Linked DNA regions of Canis lupus familiaris. The protein of the gene in region 1 interacts with the protein of each later gene in a biochemical or structural test. Links are inferred from orthologs where the notes say so. Each region holds a gene or a part of one and is shown in the gene's direction. Other genes may lie near its edges. The genes, in order: CFLAR and DEDD2.

Evidence for each region.
Region 2: the proteins of CFLAR (region 1) and DEDD2 form a complex in vitro, tested with the Homo sapiens proteins (2 studies listed by BioGRID). The link is inferred for Canis lupus familiaris from reciprocal best matches to the Homo sapiens genes CFLAR and DEDD2.

Annotation. Positions count from the first base shown.
Region 1 is NC_049258.1:10,161,130-10,164,936, forward strand, and holds part of CFLAR (CASP8 and FADD-like apoptosis regulator), read left to right. Parts: intron 1-1,465; coding exon 1,466-1,976; intron 1,977-3,663; coding exon 3,664-3,802; 3' UTR 3,803-3,807. UniProt on the Homo sapiens protein: Apoptosis regulator protein which may function as a crucial link between cell survival and cell death pathways in mammalian cells. Acts as an inhibitor of TNFRSF6 mediated apoptosis.
Region 2 is NC_049222.1:112,875,447-112,879,957, forward strand, and holds the start of DEDD2 (DNA-binding death effector domain-containing protein 2), read left to right. Parts: upstream 1-1,618; 5' UTR 1,619-1,776; exon of another isoform or gene 1,777-1,870; intron 1,871-1,894; exon of another isoform or gene 1,895-2,100; intron 2,101-2,390; 5' UTR 2,391-2,419; coding exon 2,420-2,747; intron 2,748-4,277; coding exon 4,278-4,403; intron 4,404-4,511. UniProt on the Homo sapiens protein: May play a critical role in death receptor-induced apoptosis and may target CASP8 and CASP10 to the nucleus. May regulate degradation of intermediate filaments during apoptosis.

The DNA of each region.
Region 1 (3,807 bases):
CTTCTGGAAGACCACATCCCTGGGGGACAAAGAGAGGTGGGTATATAGTCATGAGACATGAAGAGAAATCCAGAAAAGTTGGCTGGCTGAGAGTTCGAGTAATAATCTGAATTCGGAGATGCCTGTCTAGCTTAGGGCAGAACAGTTTTTTTTTGTTCCACAAATGAATTAAGAAGTGGAGGCATCCCTCAGACAAGGAACAGAAACTTAAAGGGTGGCTCAAAGGGATGTGGAATTTTTAAGGAGGAAGAGAAAGATGTCTGCCTCTGCTATTAGAAAGATGTGACAAAGCAGAAAACTATTTCTCTGATGAAGGCAAACTGAGCAGATGGGCAAGAAATGGACTGGGTAGGATTTCTATGGTTCCAAGGCTCTAGAAACTTCTAAGAGATGGATACAAGATTTTCTTTAAAAAAGGAATAGAGTCCCAGGAGCTTTATGTGTATTATCTCACTTAATCCTCACAGCATGCTCATAGGCTGAGTATCATCACCTCTATCACTTCCACCATCACGCCTCGGTGGCTCAGCAGTTGAGCATCTACCTTTGGCTCAGAGTGTGATCTTGGTACAGGGATCGAGTCCTGCATCAGGCTCCCTGCAAGGAGCCTACTTTTCCCTCTATCTCTCTGCTTCTCTCTCTGTGTGTCTCTTATGAATGAATGAATAAATAAATAAATAAATTCTTAAAAAAAAAAAAAGCTAGGGAGCCCTACTTCTTTGAGGTCATGCAGCCACAGGTATGTTTAAGGTCAGTGTTAGAAGGCAGGCTTGTGCACCCTAAAGTCTGCCTTTTCCACGCCCTAACACTGCTTTTCCAGGCAAAGCCAATCCAGAATTTCTGGAAACTAAGAGAAGAATTCTTGGGGGCATTACAGGGAATCTTGGTCAGAGGTTACACTGGGAAGTGGGTCATGAGAGCAACTGGGGAGTCTGGAAATAGTCACGCCTTGGATGGAGGTGCCCGCAGCTGTAGCAGCCCACAGCTGTGGGGATGAGGGGACTCGTGACCTGGGCCACCCTTCCTGCAGCCATTTGGATCTAGGTGCGGGTCTGCACTTTGCAAATGCATCCATTCCTCCTTACTTGTGTGTGAGTTTAAGAAAGAGCCTTTTGGAAAGTCCCCAGCTTTGTTTTGGTTGAAGAGAAAAAGTTTTGTTCCCCTGTTGGTTGCATTGGCCTAGAAGTAGGCTCCATCCATGCCTGTGGCCACGTGTGCTGGTGGCCTTGGGCAGGGAAGGTGGTATAATGGGGCGGATGGTAACTGAGATCCTGGGACATAAATGTGTTTCAGGTTGATTCCTTCCTGCCCCCTGCTCCGGTTCTTTGAAACCTCAAAATATGGCACAAAAGCAGAAACGGATAAGGAGCAGAGATCAGCCCGTGCTTAGGATTGCTATCCACTGCCTCTTAAGTGTTTCTCATCCTAGTGTTGTTTTCCCTGTGTGTTTGTTTATTTTATCCAGATTTTCTTCGGGACACCTTCACCTCCCTGGGCTACGAAGTCCAGTATTTCTTATATCTGAACGTGGACAGTATAATCCAGATTCTTCGCCAAGTTGCCCGCATGCCCCAACACCAAGACTACGACAGCTTTGTGTGTGTCCTGGTGAGCCGAGGTGGCTCCCAGAGTGTGTTTGGTGTGGATCATACAAACTCAGGGTTCCCTTTGGATCAGGTCAGGAGGATGTTCATGGGAGACGCATGCCCTTTTCTCTTAGGGAAGCCAAAGCTCTTCTTTATTCAGAACTATGTGGTGTCAGAAGGCCAGATGGACAGCAGCAGCTTCCTGGAGGTGGATGGACCAGAGGTAAACAATGTGGAATCCAAAGCCAAGCAGCCCGGGCCCTGCACCATTCACCGGGAAGCTGACTTCCTCTGGAGCCTGTGCAAGGCAGACGTGTCCCTTCTGGAACAGTCCTCTGGTTCTCCATCATTGTACCTGAAATGCCTTTCCCAGAAACTGGGGCAAGACAGGTGAGCCGCCTCGGTGGTGGCCCATCCTTGGACCACTCATCAATTCTCTTGCTACCAAGATGGAGTTTACCACTGTGATTACCACGTGGGGTGCTCTTCTCTTCAGGCAGAAAAGGATTTTTCATTCCCTGTTGGGATTGCCACAGGAGATACATGTTTTGGGAATGCTTTGTGCTTCGGGAGGTCACTTGCTAGTCAGCTTGTAGTTTGGATATTGGTCTTCAAAATAAAGAAATTTTTAATTGCCTTTTTTTTTAAATGACAAAAGCAGTACATATGCCTTATTGAAAAAACCCTATGAAATATACGTGCTGAACCCAGAACATAACAAACAGTTATAATCCTAGTTATTAGAACCAATCTCTGTTAGCCTTCCAGATCTTTTTTGGTGTTTTGCCTTCCAGATCTTTTTTTGGATACCTGCACAATCATATCTAAATGTTTTTTTTAAAAGATTTATTTGTTTGTTCATGAGAGACACACACACACATAGGCAGAGACACAGGCAGAGGGAGAAGCAGGATCCTCGCAGGGAGCCCGATGCAGGACTTGATCCTGGATCCCGGGATCACGCCCTCAGCTGAAGGCAGACGCTCAACCTCTGAGCCACCCAGGCGTCTCATATCTAAATGTTTTTTAAACCAAAATGGAATCATCATCCACTATTACTTTATAACCTGCTTTTAGTTGGTGTAACAGTATATCCCATATATTTTACATGTCAGTAGTCACATTTCTACAGCATCATCTTAATGTCTGTGGAGCAGTCCAGAATATGGCTATGGCATAATTTACTTGACCAATTTTCAGTCTTTGGAAGGCATTTTGCTTTCATACAAGGAAAGCATTCAATATCTCTGTAGCTCAGTATTTGTGCTCATCCGTACTGTTTTCTTGAGCAAAATTCCCAGAAGAAGTGCTGTGTCAAACAGCATACATTTGGAAAGGCTTGGATGTGTCTTATCAGATTGCCCTCTAGGACAGTTACACCCACTTTGCACGAGAGTGCCCATGTCCCCAAATTCTGCTCGACACTGCACGCTCTTTTATTGCCCTGTTTTGACAGTTTGATAGGTGGAAAATGGTACCTGACTCCCCACATCTGCAAGTCTGTGTTATACAGACATTTCTGATGTTTATTGGCAAGAATACTTTTCTAAGGGAAAGCTTGGTTATCTGGTTTTTATTTAAGATTATTTCCACATAAGATTAGCAGTCCTTTTTTCAGTTGTTCACTCGTTACAGTTTAGAATGATGTTTCTGAGCCATGTGTGAAATGCATTCTGTTGTAGTTCTGGGGACCCCAGATATATGTCTCATGACCTATGACCACCCAACCCCTTCAGTAGTGGTTCAGCAGCAAGGAATGGGCTATAGTAGAAATGACTCAGCCTTCCATGGGCCAGCAGTGTTCTTGGCATCCATCCTACATTTGCATTATGATCCAGGTAAGTTATCATCTGGCTGGAGTGTCCCCAGGATAAGATGCTGTTGCCCCTTGGGTGAAGGGACTGTGGTCATTGGGCAAGCTGATTTGGATCACTCACTCAGTAGCTTGTAGAGAGAATTTAAAAAGAAACAATTGTAAAGCACTTTCACATCTGTTGGCTCATTTCACCCTAATGACAATCTGTCTCCTCTTTGATATCTGCATGGCATTAATTTTTGCTTTTCTCATTCCCTCCAGAAGACGCCCACTCTTGGAACTCCACACTGAACTCAACAGCAGCGTGTATGATTGGAATAGCAGAGTGTCTGCTAAGGAGAGGTACTACGTCTGGCTGCAGCATACTCTGAGAAAGAAACTTATCCTCTCCTGTAAATGAATGGC
Region 2 (4,511 bases), on another chromosome or scaffold:
GCGGCAGCCAATCAGAGCCGGCAGCGGAGGGCACGCGCCCTCGCGCCTGCGTGTTGACGCTCAGGCGGGGCGCCGCGAGTTGCTCCACGCACACAACTGAGCCCCGTGGGCGGAGCTTGGGGAGGGGGCAGGTGAGCGCCTGCGCAGTTCTCCTGGGCTGCTCTGCCAAAAATCAGAAAGTTAAGCGGTGAGAAGTGGGCATCGTTGGAGAGCCAGGGCCTATGGAGTGAATCGGGTGGCGGGAGACCTGGACAGAAGTGTTATTTCATAGAGGAAGAGGCCGAGCAGATGCTATGCTGAGAGCATAGCTTTGGAGCCAGACACACCTGGGGTACTTCTCTCAGGGCCTCACTTCTACATTTGCGTAAAACGGACCTGAATCACATCCACCTTAAATTAAAGGTTGTTGATTGAAATCAAACACGTAAAAGCGCTCAGCACAGGGCCTGATACACCGTAGATGCTCATTAGAGCCCATCTAACACGGACATAGTCCTTACCAGTTTGCAAAATTGCTTTCCTTTCCCACCCCCTCTTCAGTTGACTTAAGGATATTCACTTATCGGACGCCTACTGTGTGTCCGGCCCAGGACTAGGTTTTAATAGGTGACAGTTGCCATTAGAGAAAAGGACTCTTCTGAGGGCCCTGCTGCAGCCCAAGCCGACAGTGCTGAGCCAGTGCCAAGCAGGACCCAAGTCCCCTGCTTTCCAAAGGGAGATAATTTCAGGGGTGGGAACCACTCAGAGGAGAGGACTTGTTTCAAGGCACAGTGCGAGTCTCGACCTTGAGTCACCTAAGTGTGTGTGGGGGGGTGGGCCGTGGCCACCACGCCTAAGGCCCCACCTCAGGGGAGATGCTCAGACTTGCAGCCTAGACTCCAGTTGTCTTAATAGGGATCTACCCTCGCCAGAGTGCAGGTTAGAGAGGGGGCATTGGGAGGCCCCTTGATCTTTGAGGGCAGAGATTGGAAAGAGTCGTTGAGGGGGCGTTTGAGACAGGGAAAGGGTGTCTGACTGTAGTAAGGGACCGTGTTGGATGCCATCAGGAAGTGAGCAGTCGGGATGGAGGGGCCTATTGCAATCAGGAAGGAGGTATTGGTCTCTAACGTGAGATGGGAAAGCTTCCTAGCCTCGATGGGGGGGGGGGGGGGAGGTGTAGGAACTTAGTGATGGGGGCTTCGAAGAGAGATTCCAGTTGGGGTCATGAGATGGGCACAGCTGTGACGTAGGTTCCTGGTTGCCATTAGGGGTAAGGGCCAGTCTGATGGAGGAGCATTCAAGTCCGGATCATAAGGGGCCTGGGGGCTATGAGAAGCCCGGAAGGTGGCGATTGGGGTTCCTTGCATACAGGCAGCTGGAAGGAGCGGTTATGTGGGCGTCTAGGTCGTGCTTAGGATGGGGCTGTAGTCCCTGAGTTGGGTAGTTCCAACAGGGCTTGACGTGGGGCAACAGGGACCCAACCTTAAGTCACCGGCGGACAGAAGCAACCCTGCAACCAAGTACCAGTTCCAACTCAAGACGCGGAATCGCTCTCGTCTTGCGCAGGCGCAGCACTGGCGGGGCCCCGACGCTACGGTTGGGGGCGGGCCCGGAGGGGGTGGGGCTTGGAAGCTTCACTCTGCGCATGCGCCCAAGGGGCGTGGCGGTCGCACCTGCGCGAGTTGGGGGAAGGAGGAGGGGCGAGGTGACGCAGGCGTAATAATAGAGAAGGTGCCAGAAAGATCCAAAACAAGTGGCTGCGGCCGTCGCCCAGGAGTCGTCAGACGCCGGAATCTGGTGAGGATCCAGAGAGGCCTGAGGGCGACTGGTGGCGGGTAGACGGAGCCACCTGGGTGTTGGGGAGAGAGCGGTACCGCCCTAACAGAGCGAGGGGGTCGGGTTCGGGCAGCACCACCTGTGTGGGGTGAAGGGCTGCTTTGGTCGGCTCCATTGTGGGGGGCAGAGGGTCACTTTCGGACGGTACCATTTGGGTGGAGCCGCGGCGCTGATCGGACAATACCACAGGACGGAGCCAAGGGGCACGTCCGGACAGTGCTGCCCAGAGTCAAAGGGCGGTTGGCAGGGTGCCCCGGGATGGGCCCCCACACTTGTTCGGACCGGATCACTCGGTCGGATCCGGAGGCTGGTTCGGGACATACCACCTGGGGAGGGGTGTGCGGGCCGGGCGGGCCCTACTGGTGGGAGGACGAGCGGGGTCTAGCGTCTCGACCTGTTACTAGGGGACCTCGGGCGATACCATTCTTTTCTGGGGGGAGGCGGACGGCCGGGAAGGCTGGGGTGCGAAGGTGGCCCTGCCCGGCAGCACGGGGCTGGGGAGACGCGCTGGCGGGAGTAGGGCCCGGGTCCTCGCGTCGCTGACCACTGTCCCCTCCGCGCTGTGTGGGTTCTAGGCCCTGGTGCCACCCACCCTCCCCCTGATATGGCGCTGTCCGGGTTGACCCCGGCCCCGAGCTGGGAGGAGGATGAATGCCTGGACTACTACGGGATGCTGTCGCTTCACCGTATGTTCGAGGTGGTGGGCGGGCAGCTGACCGAGTGCGAGCTGGAGCTTCTGGCCTTCCTGCTCGACGAGGCCCCCGGCGCGGCCGGCGGTCTGGCCCGCGCCCGAAGCGGCCTGGAGCTGCTGCTGGAGCTGGAGCGCCGCGGACAGTGCGACGAGAGCAACCTTCGCCTGCTGGGGCAACTCCTGCGCGTCCTGGCGCGCCACGACCTGCTGCCGCACCTGGCGCGCAAGAGGCGCCGGCCAGGTATGGTTGAATGGGAGGGCGACAGACTTCCGGTAGGCCTGGGGCCTTGCCCTGGCTGGGCCTCCATGGTGGCCTGATAGGGACAGCACCATATCAGCCTGCTTCCCCACTCGCTCCTCCCCTTCGTCGAGAGTATCAATGAGGAACAGGACAGGGAGGAGACATGGCTTTGGGAGACACGAGCTTGTGGAATTTGGTCACATCTGTGACGTTTGTGGCCACTTTATGGAGGGCTTGTTTCATGCTGGGAACAGCGGTAAGCCCTTCATGTGAACTGTCGCCTTATATCCTCCCAGTAATCCTGTGGGGGTGGGGAGCCCTGTTAGTGTCTCCACCTTACAGGGAAAAGAACCGGGTTAAGAGAAGTTAAGCAGCTTGTACCCATGTAAGAACTGAATCCTATGTGCTGAGTACAGGAGGTACAGGGTGTTGGGACTGACAAAGTGTTTATTCCATGAAGCTTATGGTTAGTGGAGGGAAGCAGCCATCAAGGCAGATGGTTTATTTTTAGATAGGGTTATGGAAAGACTAAAGTAGAGTTATGGGAATGCAGAGAGTAGAGAGTGCCTTCTAGTGAAGGGAGCTCCCCTCAGATTGGATAACCAGTCCAAACCTTTCTGAGAAAGTGATGGAATGGAGGCTCTACTCCTGGTGTGCGTAGATCTCAGAGGAGAAAATGCCAGGCAGAGTGAAAGATAGGCTTTCAAGCCCTGAGTCAGTACTGAGTTTGGTATCATCAGAGACCAGTGTGGCAGGAGCAAAGGGGACTGACAAACGAAGAGCAGAGGGGGAGGTAAGAAACCACTTTATACAGGGGCTTGAAGATGACACAGGTAGAAAGTGTGGGAGTCAGGATTTAAACCTGGCTGGCTTGGCTCTGAGTTGATGCTCTTAATCCTGTGAGGGAAGTACTCCTGGAGGAGCAGTTCTGAGAAGGTGAGGAACCCAAGGGTTTAAGGGATAGAAGTCCTGTGTGTGCAGAGGCCCTGAACTGTTGAGCCCTTGGCTGGGTTATCAGGTGCAGTGGCTAGTTGCGGAGGGGGATTGCAAACTTCCCCTGCCCATAGAAAGTCCACGGGAACTGGATAACCAGGAGAAGGGCATCACTAGAGGAGAGCCAACAGTGCATTTAGAAAAATATATGCGGAGGTCGGGCTACGGAAGAGGGAATTTGGGGAGCCTGCTTACTTCTTGGGGCTTCAGGGAGCATTGGGGGCAATTGGCGGTGGGGGGCCACATTGCAGGGATCCTGGCCATGACTCGACTTACAGAATCCAGCCCTGACAATTGGAAGCTGCTATAAACATGGGTTGGATAGCCCCAGAAGGTCACGGGTCTCATCTCTCATTGTAGGCATGTAGCAACCACTGGGCAGGAAGCATTTGAGAGGGAGCGGCTGTCTGGGCTCTGACTTCTGGGGAACTCAGGCACCTAGTGGGGCAGGAGTCCATCTCCAGGTGGGAATGGGAGCCTGGGTCGGGGAGGGGTTGGAGGCTGTGAATATTTCTTTCCGTTTTTCTCTCTCTGAAGTGTCTCCAGAACGCTACAACTATGGCACCTCCTCTGGCTCTTCTTCTAAAAGGACTGAAGGTAGCCGTCGTCGCCGTCGCCAGTCCAGTGGTACCTCAGAGGTTCAGCAGGGTCAGTGGGAGACAGGTGAGCCTTGAGAGCTGGGTGTGATGGCAGCGTCCCTTTCTTCCTCCTGAATCCTGGTGAACCCGCTCCATCCCGACCCATCAAGGAAGGGGCCCGAGGGGGTCATTA